2 linked regions of the Mytilus edulis genome follow. The protein of the gene in region 1 purifies or fractionates together with the protein of each later gene. This does not show direct contact. Links are inferred from orthologs where the notes say so. Each region holds a gene or a part of one and is shown on either strand. Other genes may lie near its edges.

Region 1 (8,097 bases):
ATGAAGGGCGGTCCACCCAGATTCTACATCTTTAAGGGTGGCATCAGCATTCCTATCAGTCATCAACCATTCAATCACATCACACTTGCCACACGATGCTGCCACATGTAGGGTTGTCCTTCCATAAATATCTGTCACTTGTGTAGAAGCATAACAAAGTTTACAGTATGCTTGAATTTCTTCTAACAGCCCCTTTGTTACGGCTGCATTGACTTCTAATGCATGCCGTTTTGATTTACACTTCAACCCACACTCCATATTTACAGATATAGTCTAATGTTTGACTTTAATCACAAAAGAAAGTTGACTTAATAGTTGTAGACTGAAGAAAAATAAATACTGTATGTCTTGGTTATAAATACTGGTATTTGTGGCACAGAATTTGCTAAGAAGAAGCACCAATTAACAGCTGGATACCAGCCAAAGACTGGATGCCCACTATAGGGCAACCATAGTGTCAGTGTTTAAAAAGCCATAATGGTAAGATTAACCTGAAATTAAGAAAAACAATAATTAATTGAAATGTAATTACTAATAAAAAAGTCAGTACAATTTCTAGATGCAAATAAAAATATTTTCTTCTCATATACAAATTTTCCTTGAATGGTATACTGTATATTGGATACCATTTATTCTCTTGACCAAGTGCTTTCCAATTATGTGCCATATACTATTTTATATATAATTAACTTGTTCAAGTAAGAAGTCATTCTGTTGGACGCTGCATTGTAAAATTGAGAAAGGAAATGGGGAATGTGTCAAAGCGACAACAACCCAACCATAAAGTTGACAACAGCCTAAGGCCACAAACGGGTCTTCAATGTAGCGAGAAACTCCAGCACCTGGAGGCTTCCTTCAGCTGGCCCCTTAAAAAGTATGTATACTAGTACAGTGATAAAGGACGTCATACTAAACTCCGAATTATACACAAGAAACTAAAATTAAAAATCATACAAGACTAACAAAGGCCAGAGGCTCCTGACTTGGGACAGGCGCAAAGTTGTGGTGGGTTAAACATGTTAATGAGATCTCAACCCTCCACCTATACCTCTAGCCAATGTAGAAAAGTAAACGTATAACAATACGCATATTAAAATTCACTTTCAGTTCAAGAGAAGTCATAATATAATCTGTATTGTATTATAAATCAATAAAAATTTGTACTATTCCAATCACCATGTAAATGTATTTTCCTTAATTTAAGCTTGCAAAGAGTCATTAAAAACACACAAAGGTGTCAATATTTACACACCCATCGATAAGTTGTCATAAATCACACATGTGGTCGCTGGCCAGTATACTAGTATGATATCAAGCAGGTGTGTTGTATTCTAAATAGTTTCTGCCAGATACATTGGCCACACTCAATGAACTGATTATATGGGGACGAAGTCCCCAATAACAGTAGAAAAATCAATAATAAAAAAAAATTTTAAAAAAATCAGGAAATTTAATTTTCCCAAAATTTTCATTGTACTAATGAACTCAAAATCGTTCAATTTTTTTGATGTCATGTTTTGAATTCCCACATCTGCGCAGAAATCTACAATGTACTTCCTTTTTCTGGTCTCGTTTTTGTGAAACTTTGAGTAAAATATATATTTATCAGTCTAGTATAAAATAGAAAGGAACGCAATACCAATTTCATTTTTTTTATAATTCCTCGATATGAAAAAACGTTACCTGATGAAAGCGTTTCTTGGTTTACATTGCATATGATGTCATAACTTAAATAACGTCACAACTAAAAATCCCTAACAACAGAACCAAAATTGGAAACGTTACGGTATTTCCGTTTCTTTTTTTTAACAAATATTTAAGGTTCAAAAAAATAATTCATACAGACTTCGTCCCCATTTACAGGTAATGCCTGCCTCATATTAGCCTTGCAAGTGCCTCACCCCTATTAACATACATGTACAGTGGTCTCGCTAGCCCAAAATAGAAGGGCGCCGCACCCTGGGTGCCCTCAGCCGCGCCCTGGGTGCCTTCATCCGCGCCCTTCTGCCCTGACGTCTTTTTCCAAAATTCTCTTGTGCCGTTTTGGTAAAATTGCTTTTTGTTTCATCGATTTCTGATCTCCAAGTTAATTACATATATGACACCTGTGTGATTGCCCCCAGGTTAATCATGTCATTACAATCAATTACAATGATAAAGACTTCAAAGGTGTTAATAACTAGGTAATTTAATTAGGACAATGTATCTTTTTGTCATACTTTTGATGAACGTGTCAGCAAGTGTGTTTAGGTTGGGTCGGCATTTTCGATTTCCAAGTCACAATGAAAGAGTGTATAAATGAAGACTTTCATGACTTTAGAATTGAATTTAAGTCATCAAAATAAAACTATGCCTTCACAGAAATGCCTTCCATCTCAACTTGTTAGCGACAAGCACAGTTTTTAATTAACGCAAACGTGTTGGAAATTAATTTTGGAGTTACTTCCCCTGTTTTAGCTTATTACAAATTTGTGCTCTAAAAATATTATCTAGTATCAAAAAAAGGAATAAAGAACCAATTGAATATATAATAACATAATAATGTTACCTTAAGGATATTAACTGTCTTTGAACATATTAAAAAAAATATATTGCAATTTCTGTTTGATAATTATACTTTTAGCAATCCATGTTCTAAACATTGATAAATTAGTAATACACTACAAAGTTAGATAAATAACATATAAAAGCTGAAATTCTTATAAAGATAAAAAAAAAATTCTTCGACAATGGGTAGAGTGAAGTTAAACTATAAACACTTTTATAAGTTGATGAAGATGTACTATATAATTCATAACTACACAAACAATGAAATAAAGACTATAGTTAAAATGCATCTTTATTTAAAAAAAACAACATATACAGTAAAAAAAAAAGAGATTCGTTAACTCGTGATACACACAGAAACGTAGACAAAAAAAATGGCAGTGCCTTTTCTTATCATAAAAAGTGCCCTGCCCTCCACTGGCACCCTGCCCCTTTTGATTTCTAGCTAGAGCACTGCATGTACATGTATATATACCAATATAATTATTTAAGTTTACCTTTATTGACTATAAAGACATTCAATGGATATAAATGAACAAATTTATAGCAAATCATAGCACTATATTCCCGATCATAGTGAGATATGCCAAGAAAATTGCATAACAAGTATGAAACACTGTGTATGTCACTTCTTCAAAAGTTCTTGTGACCTTAACCATGTTAACATGTTCAAGATATTTTTGTTAATTCAACCAAAGCATTCGAGTTTTGCATTACCTGATCAAGAGGACAGAACATTATTGTCGCAAACAGTGTAGAGGGAGTATGTAAAGTTGGTGTTTATGCTTAGTTTAGACATAATTTTTATATAATTTCTATTTTTTTGACGTGGTGAAATATAAACAGGAAACGACGATTCAAATTTATTAACCAAATCAAATCTGGAGAAATGTTCCGGAAATATGTCCGATTCTTAAAAGAGGCCCCTCATGGGGTAGTCCAAGTAATCACAGAATCATTTACGATTTTTTGTTTCAACAAGATAATCAAGTGGTCAATATACTGTGTTGGATCTGTAATCTGGTAATAAACTTTTTGTTCATATCCTTAAAAAAATTTGATCTTTTACATAAATTCGTATTTGTATTTTTTATTTTAATTTCACTACTGTAGAAGTCATAAAACAAATAATTTTAACTTTTGTCCATGTCATAGTGACACGTTAAAATTTGGTTTTGTGGTTATTTAATTTTGTAGCTGGGTTACTATGTCATGGGCATATAACCCCACATCTCCTTTTATTCATCATAGACTCATGGGTTCAAATGATACAACAAAAGGTGGTTTGTTAGAAAAAAACTGTAAAGTGACAAAAAATTACTACGTTTTGCAACTTTAGTCTAAAGGTTTTAAACTATTTTACAAGTGACGCCGCTCACGATATCCCCGGCAGAATTCATCATGGACAAACGGAAAATACTCTATATATATGTGAAACAGGAGAAGCGCTTTCTGTGTTTGTTACTTAAGTTATTATATCGAAAGCTAGTTAAAAAAAAAGCAGCTAGCTGGGACTATTATACTAATGATATTATAATAGTCCCAGCACCTAGTGACTATTCAAATTAAATCGCAGGAAAAAGTTTTAAAAAAGAAGAAAAATACCGAACTAGCTCCGAGGAAATTTCGAAACGGAAAATTCCTAAGCAAATCATTTTTGGCAAAATCAAATTTTCAAACACCAAATAAATGGATGACAACTGTCATATTCATGACTTGGTTCAGGCATTTTCTGAAGTATAAATGGTGGATTAAACCATACAGTCGCATACAATTCCATTATATTGATAACGATGTGTGAACAAAACAAACACAAAAAGATAGATAAAAATATCAAAACTTGATAGGGGTGCAGCAGTCAACATTGTGTTTTAACACGCCTGGTAAACCAACAATCTAATCTCAACCAAATGGTTGAGACGGAAAAAAGTATTCTGGCACTTCCTGTTGAGCTTTTCTGGTTCAAAATATTGAAAATAAACACAGGGTAGGTCGATTTTTTGTCGATTTACTGAAAATTAACGACTTTTTTTGTAAATCGGAGAATGTCATGCCATAGACAAATCATAATTGTAACTAATATGTCTCTTCTTGGTTTAAAATATTTTAAATTGAAGTCACAATCACTTTTCTCCTACGGATTATAATGTTTACATTCTTTAAATACGATAGAAGTGCTATGATATTAATGACTTAGCAAGAAAATATGTCAATAATTTGTGTTTTTTTAGGCTTTACGATAACCACGTCTGTAAATTGCACAAATATGTGTTTGTCAAGCCTACTCTGAGCAAAAAATAAAAAAATTAAAATTGGTTGAGATATAAAGGTATTGGTTGAATCTTTCTGTCACAATGTTGAGACTTTCTGGTTGCGCTGTACTATTCGAGTTTACCTTTTTTTATGGTTAACCTGATTCATGTTCTCTGTCTAGGGTAACATAAAATCTAAATACAGATACAATTTTAAGCATTGCCGATAGAAAAATGCATGCCTTACAAATATAAATAAGATTATTTTACAATGGTTATTCATTCATATGATTTGGATGAATTCGATTCCTAACAGACAATATTTGATGCCGAAAATGCGTACATTTATAAAGAAATAAAATAGTTAAAAACTAAACAATCGAACAGGACCCCTTTTCTAGGTTTATTTTTTCTTACACATTATTTCAGGGAGAGGATAATTTAAATGTGAGTAAAAGATGTCATTTTTGTCATTATAATACTTATCACAAAAAAAAAATATGACGATTTTAAAATTGCTTTGTAATTATTATAAGTGACGTCCAACTTAGTGTAATCACAGGTGTTGTATTGAAATAATTAAAACTTAGATATTTGTTTACAACTGCATTCAGGGCACATCCTTAATATTTGGTAATATTCAGCAACATTTATATTATAACCCGGGCCCCGTCACACTAGGTCTCGCACTACGATTTCTAAAAAAATAATGCTATTGACGATCGTAGTGCAGTTTGGTTGTGTTACGGTCTTGATGAGTTCTTGGTGATCGTGTTGAGAGTAGCCAACTTTTAACATGTTCAAAACAATCGTGATGCGTTCGTGGCGAAATCAGGTCGCAGTTCTGTTCTAGTCGTAGATTTTTTTAGCCGTGGAACTGTCGTTCCAGATTGAACTGTGTAAATCAGTTCTAGGTAGAACTTACCAATGACCAAATCAGTTCTTGATTAGAACTGTTTAAGCTAGAACAGTCTTAAAGTGTCAGGAGATAGTTCAACATTTGTCCTCCAGTTCTCCTTCAGATTATGACAGTAAGAGGTAATCTATATTGCATGTACATCTCCTTTGCAATTATCTACTTTAAATAATAACTTTTGATGAAATGAAAGAATTTAATGAATATCCATTTCTGAATATTAATTCAGTTTTCTTTTTAAATATTTTAAAACTGGATTCGACGTAGCTTAATTGTGGGAGATAGTTAAAAAAAAATTGTGTGTATGCTAAGCATGCGATATCTGCTAAAAACTGTGGTCACACCTTACCAGATAGCTCGAACGAACGTCGAAAGGATAAACAAAAGTTTTCGATTTACAAAATTTGCATCCGTTAGGAGTCCGTGATGTAATGGCCAAATAAAACGGACGTGTTATATGCCGAAAAATGGGACGGAAGAGGAATAAAAAAAAATGTCAGAATAAAAAGCCAATAATTTTGCCTGATCATGATTGAGAAGTTGAGCCAAAAATATTCATGGTACTAAAGAAAACTAACATACCAATAATTGCCTTTTCTTACGCGATTTGTTTTCAATTTGTATGTATCCGTTTTATTATCAATGTTCTTTCTGTGGTACGATTGCCAATGATACAACTCTCCAAAAGGGACCAAAATGACACATAAAGTAACAACTAGAGGTCGCCGTATAGCCTTCAATAATAAGCAAAGCCCATACTGCATAGACAGCTATAAAAGGCCCCAAAATGACAATGTAAAACAATTGTAACGAGAAAACTAACGGCCTTGTAAATATAAAAAAAAATGAACGAACAACAAATATGTAACACATAAATAAATAAATAATTAATAGCCCTGGAGATGTCAATTACAACATTATTGACGTTAAAGCTTCTGTGCAAAACTGCATCTCAAACGCTAGAATTAATCTCCAGCGTTAGAACTTTAATACTAGTACTTAAAAAACACAGCTATTTACTATTTAGACTCTATTACAACCAAAGGCCTCTTTAGAAGCTGCTGTCATAACTACAGACAAGATTAAAATGACTGTTGAAATGTCAAACAATATACGGCAAGTTTATGAATTTTGACAGTTGTAAGCTACACAAGGTCATGTTTTTCTCTGACTGTTTATGACGTCTTTACACTAAATTAATTTGATGTGTACGGATTGATAGTTTAGTCTTAGATGCATGATTTTTTTATTAGTTGTTAATGGCTTTTAACTAGCTGTCAGATAACTGCGAGTACTCTCAAATCTGTTCCTAGTGTCTTTTTGTTGTCGGGATGTTCAAGAACCCGGCCACGTCCAATTGCATTTTTGTTCATCTGATGAGTTAAACCTTTTTCAACTGATTTTTATAGCTCGTTCTTATGTTGTACTGTTATATATACCACTGTTCCAGGTAAGGGGGAGGGTTGGGATCCCGCTAACATGTTTAACCCCTCCACATTATTTATGTATGTGCCTGTCCCAAGTCAGGAGCCTGTAATTCAGTGGTTGTCGTTTGTTTATGTGCTGCATATTGAATCATATTTGTTTTCCGTTATTTATTTATTTTTTATACAGATAAGGTCTTTATAGTTTTCTCGTTTAAATTGTTTTACATTGTCATATCGGGGCCTTTTATAGCTGACTATGCGGTATCGGCTTTGCTCATTGTTGAAGGCCGTACGGTGACCTATAGTTGTCAATGTCTGTGTCATGTTGGTCTCTTGTGGACAGTTGTCCCATTGGCAGTCATACCACATCTTCTTTTTATAGTTGAAAATTTCATTCACCAGAAGATCTCAACATTGTTCCAGAATATCTCAACCGATACCAGAAAATCTCAACATGACATACTTTATAACATATTTAGCTTTAGGAAATTATATTAGTAAAGAAAAAGAACAAACTGTAATTTTATGTTTATAATGTTTTAGAAAAATACTTATTTACTAATATATATGCTAGTTTATCAATGATATCACTGTCATTTTGTCAATAGCCGACTGCGCTGGCCACATTTACCTGCTGGAGAAAAGTCATTACGATGTCATTTTAAATCATATTCATTTGTGTTATACACGAGACAAACTGTAATTCCAATATCTATGGCATGACATTCTCCGATTTTACAAAAAACACATTGATTTTCAGTAAATTGACGAAATTTCGACCTACCCTGTGTTTATTTTGAATATTTTGAACCAGAAAAGCTCAACAGGAAGTGCTAGAATACTTTTTACCGTCTCAACATTTGGTTGAGATTAGATGGTTTACTAGGCGTGTTTAATCTTAATCACTATGAAAACAAACAAATATGTGCGATTCGCTCGTGTATGTAACAATTTT
Region 2 (8,223 bases), on another chromosome or scaffold:
ACAGAAATCTTCTCCTCTGAAACTACTGGGCCAAATTAATCCAAACTTGGCCACAATCATCTTTGGGGTATATAATTTTAAAAATGTGTCCGGTGACCCGGCCATCAAATCAAGATGGCCGCCACAGCTAAAAATAGAACATAGGGGTAAAATGCAGTTTTTGGCTTATAACTCAAAAACCAAAGCATTTAGAGCAAATCTGACATGGATAAAATTGTTTATCAGGTCAAGATCTATCTGCCCTGAAATTTTCAGATGAATCAGACAACCCGTTGTTGGGTTGCTGCCCCTGAATAGGTATTTTAAGGAAATTTTGCTGTTTTTGGTTATTATCTTGAATATTATTATAGATAGAGATAAACTGTAAACAGCAATAATGTTCAGCAAAGTAAGATTTACAAATAAGTCAACATGACCGAAATGGTCAATTGACCCCCTAAGGAGTTATTGTCCTTTTCTAGTCAATTATTAACAATTTTCATAAAATTTGTAAATTTTTATTAACATTTTCCCCTGAAACTACTGGGCCAAGTTCATTATAGATAGAGATAATTGTAAGCAGCAAGACTGTTTAGTAAAGTAAGATGTACAAACACACCACCATCACCAAAACACAATTTTGTCATGAATCCATCTGCTTCCTTTGTTTAATATTCACAAAGACCAAGGTGAGCGACACAGGCTCTTTAGAGCCTCTAGTTTTTTTTTGTATAAATGTTACTAACTCCTATATACTTAAATTATCGAGAATGCACTCACAGGTGTTTCATTTTGGGATTTGCTCCAACAGTGTTTTTTTTTGCGCTAATTTGAAACACAAATTTATTTTCGCATCCCTTTCATAAGAATTATTGTTATAATATTGAGGGGCAAAAACTAATCCACACAAAGAAAAAACTCCCCTCCAGAAAAAAGAAGAAATTGATTCCGTATATTTATATAATTTAAAAGAGTGACCAAAACTTGATAACTGGATAATTTTAAAAGTCTTATTTAGTGATGGTTTAAAAATGAATAACTATCAAATTGGGTACAGTTGTATTGTGGTACTTTCGCGTCGATGCTATAATGGTAAATTTCTGGTTATTAGATTACTCAGGTTATAAATTTTTTGTAGAACGGATTGGGATCCGAATATCAAATCAAATCAAATCAAATATGTTTATTGGATAATCAATATATATGTACAGTGCACAATTGATGTCTTCCACACAATGAACAGATATTAAAACAATTAATACAAAATAAATGCATATACATTAGAAATAATATCTGGACAGAGCTAATATAAGTTGTAAAACATTAATATAGTTGAAAAGCTTTTTCAATAAAAGTACAGATAGCTTTTGTATCAATTTTATTTAAAGGATACATAATGTTATGTAGAATAGTAGATTCCTTTTCCCTTTTATTTAAATCCGAGGGGTCGATATTTAATTTTTTGAAGAGATCTTGTCTTAAAATTGAAAACTTTTTACAGTATAAAATGAAGTGTTTTTCATCATCTAATAAATCACAAGTCTGACAAAGTCTTGAGTTATGCGGAATTTTTGGTCTATGATAACGACCTTTTTCTATTAAAAGAGAATGTGCACTAATTCTTAACTTAGTCAAATTTTTACATAGTGCTTTTGGAATATTAAAGTCAAGATATTTTTGAAGAGAAAAATTTGTGTAACAAAATGAAAAATATTTAAGCTTTGAGTCAGAATTGTAATTAGAATAATTTTGAAGCTGTTCTTTAATTAGTTGGATGGTTTGATCGTGTATTTTCAATTCTAGATTTTCATTTTCCAAATTCTTTACATCCAATTTAAATTTTTTGCAACTATAATCAATAAATGAATACCATGATTTTGACCCCTCTTTGAAAAGTCCTCTATCTACTTTATACACTTCAGCAAGAAATCTATCAGATGGAAGTTGTTGCAGTCTTATGAAATATTTAAAAGCCAATTTAGTAATAAAATTAATAATTGGTAATCTTCCTAATTCACACCTGGAGGCTAAATTTGATGCCTTTTTATGTACTCCAAGTAGATATTTACAAAATTTATTATGTATTTTTTCAAATGGTATATTATCTTTATTTAAATCTTTTAAAGTAAAATCGGATATCCAAACTTCTGATCCATAGGTTGTAATAGGTCTAATTAGAGAATCAAATAACTTTAGCTTAAGCTTGGTACCAGAGTAATTATAATCTAGAATATTTGATTTAAGACTAAATACTGCTTTAAGAGCTTTATTATACATATGTTCTGCGGCATGCTTTAAATTGCCATTAAATGAAATCAGCATTCCAAGATATTTATATTTATCGACTGTTTCTATATTTTGACCATTAATTTTAAATTTGATGGCAGATTTTTTCTTGCCCTTACTAAAAATCATAACTTTAGTTTTAGTAATATTGACTTTCAACTTCCATCTGTTACAATATATTCCCAGGCTGTCCAGACAAGCTTGTAAACCCTTTTCACTCTCTGACAGTAGAATTAAATCATCTGCATATTGTAAACAATTAAATTGTGTTGTAATGAGTGACACAGGAAATGTTTTTGAAAAATCAAATATTTTTGGCAGATCATTAGTGTATATATTAAATAACAGAGGGCTAAGACCATCACCTTGTCTAACACCCCTATTGGCTCTATGAGCTTCTGAAATAAAGTTTTCTTTTTTTACCACAAACTTTGAATTAGAGTACATATGTTTAATTATCTTATAGAAATTTCCTCCAATTTTAAGATTTAATAGTTTTTTAAGTAATCCTGAGTGCCAAACAGAGTCAAAAGCTTTAGAGAGATCTACAAAACAAGCAAAAATAGGCTTTTTTAATTTGTGTAAATATTTATTTATCAAAGTTTTAATAGTGAAAATATGATCTGCAGTTCTATAATCTGGTCTGAATCCTGCTTGAAAGGGATTATAAAGATTATTTTCTTCCATATATTTATGCAGTCTTTTCTGTAATAATGAGGTGAAAAGCTTGCCAAGACAGCTGGTAAGGCTAATACATCTATAATTATCGCATATGTTTATGTCACCATTTTTGTGTAAGAAGGAAGTACAAGATAAATTCCAAGCATCTGGAAATTTTCCGCTTGATAAAATTCTGTTAAATAAATTAACAATAGGTAAAAGTAATAGGTCTTTTCCATATAAAAGGAATTCATTATATATAAGGTCTATTCCTGGTTGTTTATTCTTCTTAAGTTTTTTAATGCCATCTCTGACTTCTTTACAAATGAATGCATAATCTAAATGTTTATTATTAATATTTTCAATTTCTATCTTCGAGATATCTAAATCAGTATTATTTTCTTCATAAAGCTTTTTTAAGTAATTTGACATTTCAGATAGAGGTATAGGATTTTCTTCTCTATTTGTATTTTTCTTCAGATTATTAATGGTTTTCCAAAATAATTTAGGGTTATCTTCATGAAGAGAATCTAATTTATCAATTATATCTGTTATAAATTTCTTTTTTGTATCTTTTAGTAATTTTTTGTACTCCCTTCTTAACTGGTGGTATGATGTTTTTAAATCATGATTATTAGGATGTTGTTGTAATCTACTTCCAAGATTGTTAAGTTCCCTTTTAAAAAATTTACAATTTCCATTAAACCATTTCTGTTTTCCTTTCTTTTTCTTTCTTTTCCCCTTGAATGGTCTAAAATTAAATGTTTTATTTGCTGAGTCTAAAATTATATTGCTCAGATTTTCAGATAAATTATTTATATCCATTTCAGGATTATTGACTTCTAGTAAAAATTGATCAATTAAAAGTTTTGAATCTTGTACGGCTTCTACAAATTTTTCTCTTGAGCCTGATTCCAAATTGTATTTACCTGGAAGAAGATCACAATCCTTAGTATTAATGTTGTTGTTAATTTGTGAGTATATATAGTTACTGTTGTTTTTTAAACCAGTCCATAATAAACTATGGTCTGAAAGCTCATTTGGTGGAAAGACATGTAAATAAACAAATTCATGAAAAATATCTTCAGAAACTAAAAAATAATCAATACTACTACTTCCTCTTGGACAGTAGTAGGTATGGAACCCCAGCGAGTCACCGTCAATTCGACCATTAAGTATTCTCATCTTTGATTCTATACAAAAATCTATTAGCATTCTTCCCTGTTCATTTATCTCAGGATCAAGGTTGTTTCTTTTGGGTAAAATTAGATCTGATGTATAATTTGTAGGTAAATTGGACTTGCCCTCAGAATTCTGGTGGTAGTCTGTCTCATCAAGTTCTATATAATCTATTAAATTAGCAGTTCTACTATTACAGTCTCCCATGATTATAACTTTACCCAATTCTGAGTATTTATTCACTAAACTAGATAATGAATCAAAAATTTTATCGTTTTCTGGACATACTGACTTTGCCCTTGGATTTATATATACACAGCCTAAAAAAATATCATGTGTAAGACCACATTTATCTTTGTCTAATTTAATAAAGATGTAGTTTTTACTTTGGGCTATTTTAATGATAGCATTACTTTTTTTGAATTCATTTTTAAAATAAAGAATGATTCCACCTGATCTTCGTCCTCTTTTACCTTTTTTCTTAATTCCAGGTTGGTGAAAGCATGTATAATTTTTAAAAGATATCGATGACTCGCCGTGGGTCCATGACTCCACTATTCCAAAAATATCAAATTTACTACAATTTATATCATTTAACTTTTGACTAGAGAAACCATTTATATTCCAGCATCCTAGCTGAAGCATTTTATGTATATATATATTAAAACATAACCACAATACTGATTTTGTGAGACCCGATGACATTGATTAGCATTTTCATTATGTATAAACAAGCATCAATCATATAAGTTGTAATGAAAGGTGTGAATTTTTTTTATATTTCACTTGTGTGTGTAAATTGTCATTAATAATATAAAGTTGCAAATGTGTGTAAAGAGGCATAACTCTGACTGTTTAAAAAAGTACTGTAATATTACAATTAAATAGGCATACCTGGTCATACATCTTGTTGTTTATTGTACACAATTATTTTTGATATTATTATCATCTAATTCTTTCAAACGTTTGACGAATTGTGAAATACACCTTATTCATTTAAAATATATTTTGACACCGAAAATATAATTTGGCATGAAGAAAGATTGAAAAATGAAATATAAGATTATGGAGAGTTAAAAGGTGAACAACAAAAAGAAAAAAATGAACAAGCAGTTATAACTCACCTACCCCAAAAATGGCATAGTAACTAAAATAAATAATTTGAACGGACAACATGGGCGATGAAATGCCTGATTTATATGTCCAACGGCTGTTTTTCCAGACAAGATGGGGCCGTAGGAATGACTGACTATAATAGCTAGAACTATACACCTTAACAAATTTTATCACTTTTCTATTGTGGCGTCAGATATTTTGTATTACAACGTCCAAATTTTACGGGAACCTGTATGTTTTTCACCGGAAAAGATGGTCAATTTCGCACACCTTTATGCCGTCATTTACCAGATAGAAGACACGCCTATGTCCCTGCTCTATTGAAACTTTCCAGCACTTTTCATAAACGTCATTATGTAGGGTAGTATAGAAATAATTAATGTTCCGTAAGTTCATAATCGTGATTGTCGTAGGACTGAGGGAGGGTGACCCTTGTCTTTTAGATTTTAATTTCCCAAATATTTAGTGCAGTATGTGATAAAACTTTTTTAATCGTTTGCTCAACATGTGTTGGAAATTTCTATGCATACATTTTTGTCACGTGGTGATGGAAGTCACATGACAGATTTGTCTGAAAACCGTATCTTGGAACTGGCCTTTAGTCTTGGGTACCAGCTTACTACAAGAACAAGGCACTAAATTAAGATTAATGCACATGTATGTTGTTCAGCTATGTACAGGTCAATGTCTTGGGACAGGCATATTCAAAATGTAGCAGGATTTAAGGATGTCTGCTGGTCATGTTTTTGAATTCTTGTCATATTTTCGATTTTCTCAGGTTTTATCCATCCAAATGTATTAAATTTTTTTTACACGACACCCCACTTTTGTCTTCATAAATCTGTTCAATAGATCATTTCAGATTTAGTGATCCGGCGGCATGAAATCCTTGTTATTTTTTCTTGGTTTAAAGGGTAAAAAACAATTCCAATGTTAACAAATAGTAAAGTCTGAAGAAAACCCTTTTCCCGCCATTTTCTAAATGTCTCGTATTTTGAAAACTACACACGAGACTAATGATTTTATTACTTTATTTTGTTTAAATATCAAAGTTGTTTTCATTTTAAGCAACCACATGAAATCCTTGTTATTTTAAATTAGAGCAGCAGACATCCTTAACATGTTTTTGGAAGCAGCAAATCATCTTTACCTGTACATGTGAGGACCATAGACAAAGATATATTTATACTTTGTCACTTGTATGCAAATTTTTCTATAAAAGCATAGTCTGACTTTTACTATTCTTGGAAGATTCTAACTTACTTTTGTCATAGCTCTGACTGTAATACTTGACCTTGTGTGTCTGTCTTGCAATTTTTATCTGACCATTTCCTGCTTCATTGGTCAGTGTTAAGTTTGTATTGCTTGTCAGTTTATCTGACAGATGATATAAGTAATACATTTAGGTCAACTACATTTGGTGTATTACATGGAATAATTGTATAATGTACATGTTGTCTGGCTTGGTTCGAACATCTGACCGTGATCTCATTTTTATGGTCCATTTGGCAATTATCAATATTCATAATTAGGTCTGTTTCTCAGATACTACATGTATAAGCAAAATGGTAACTATAATTGGTGTAATTGATTGATTGTAGTGTGTTCATGTCTGTCCAGCAGGGTTCATCTGATTTTAACCTCATTTGCATAGATCATTAATAATGTTTAGTTAATTTGAAACTTGTTCTAAGTTGTAGTACATTGTAAAATCTTTCAAAATGAATTCAATCATGGTAAAGTAAAGAAGGCGAGACATTTCCTTGTGTGCACTCTTTTTGTTAATAAAAGGTTAAAACATTTCTGATATTGATTATAGCGGTACTTTCATGCAGTTTTTCTATGAAAATGTTAACAAACACAGTTACAGTCAAGTGAAAACCAATTGTTTCCAATTTCAAGAATGATAATTTGATGGGCATTGGGGATGCCTTTCTAGTCTACATTCAGTTATTTACATGATTTAAGACATAATACTTTAAGTTATCCGCATTATCATGATTATGGCACGCATTTTCACTCAAAAAAAAATACAGTAAAAATATACCCAAAATAAAATTGAGAATGGAAATGGGGAATGTGTCATAGAGACAACAACCCGACCAAAGAGGAGAACAACCACCAAAGGCCACCATGCGTCTATAACGCCGTACTGTAAGAAAAATCTGTATTAGGAAGCAGTCTTCAAGTTCAACTGGATTTTAAATAAAAATGTGTTCTACTTGAATGAAAATGGATGTCAGACTAAACTCCAAAACAAATAAATGAACTAAAATTAAAATGATACAAGAATCACAAAGGCAATTTTAAAGATTGTATGTGAAAAACCTTTCCACTTTATTTTTATTACATTATGTTTCAGGGATGTAAAATGGAACAGTATGATAAAGGAGAAGTCAGGATGGTGGAAGCACCTTCTATCTTTAGTCTGAATGAAACTGGTATTGAAATGAAAGTTAATGCAGGAAGTAAAATACGTAATCTCATGGGATTCGCTATGAAAAAAATGAAGGTTTGTGTCAATCTATTTACATCTATATAACATTTTCAAAATACAGGTAATTTAATATAAGGTACTCCATGATCACACAGTTAGTAAACTTAGTTTTGATGAACAAAATGGTGTAGATGTCTTTAAAAGTTTTAAAAAATAGATGCACACATTAAAAAAACCAATAAGGTTTAACAAGCCTTTATTAGATGATTCATTTTGTCTAGTGTATTACAAAGAAAACCTGCTGGTGGTTTTATCAAGAATTGCAAATTTTAAATCCTTCAAGCAGCCTGTCAAATGGTTAACATATACAATGGACCCTACAAATAGTGCTGTGTTTGGTACTACTAGTCTAAATCCTTCAAGCAGCCTGTCAAATGGTTAACATGTACAATGGACCCTACAAATAGTGCTGTGTTTGGTACTACTAGTCTAAATCCTTCAAGCAGCCTGTCAAATGGTTAACATGTACAATGGACCCTACACATAGTGCTGTGTTTGGTACTGTA

What was found.
Region 2: the proteins of inhibitor of Bruton tyrosine kinase-like (region 1) and ribonuclease P protein subunit p25-like protein purify together in Homo sapiens (co-immunoprecipitation; 3 studies listed by BioGRID and IntAct, with this or other methods). This does not show direct contact. The link is inferred for Mytilus edulis from reciprocal best matches to the Homo sapiens genes IBTK and RPP25L.

The regions. Positions count from the first base shown.
Region 1 is NC_092353.1:20,080,113-20,088,209, reverse strand, and holds the start of inhibitor of Bruton tyrosine kinase-like, read right to left. Parts: upstream 3,431-8,097; 5' UTR 3,265-3,430; intron 492-3,264; 5' UTR 259-491; coding exon 1-258. UniProt on the Homo sapiens protein: Acts as an inhibitor of BTK tyrosine kinase activity, thereby playing a role in B-cell development. Down-regulates BTK kinase activity, leading to interference with BTK-mediated calcium mobilization and NF-kappa-B-driven transcription.
Region 2 is NC_092345.1:96,831,499-96,839,721, forward strand, and holds the start of ribonuclease P protein subunit p25-like protein, read left to right. Parts: upstream 1-5,067; 5' UTR 5,068-5,184; intron 5,185-7,582; 5' UTR 7,583-7,591; coding exon 7,592-7,732; intron 7,733-8,223. Other genes in the region: uncharacterized protein, read right to left, coding at 1,303-4,749. UniProt on the Homo sapiens protein: May be a component of ribonuclease P or MRP.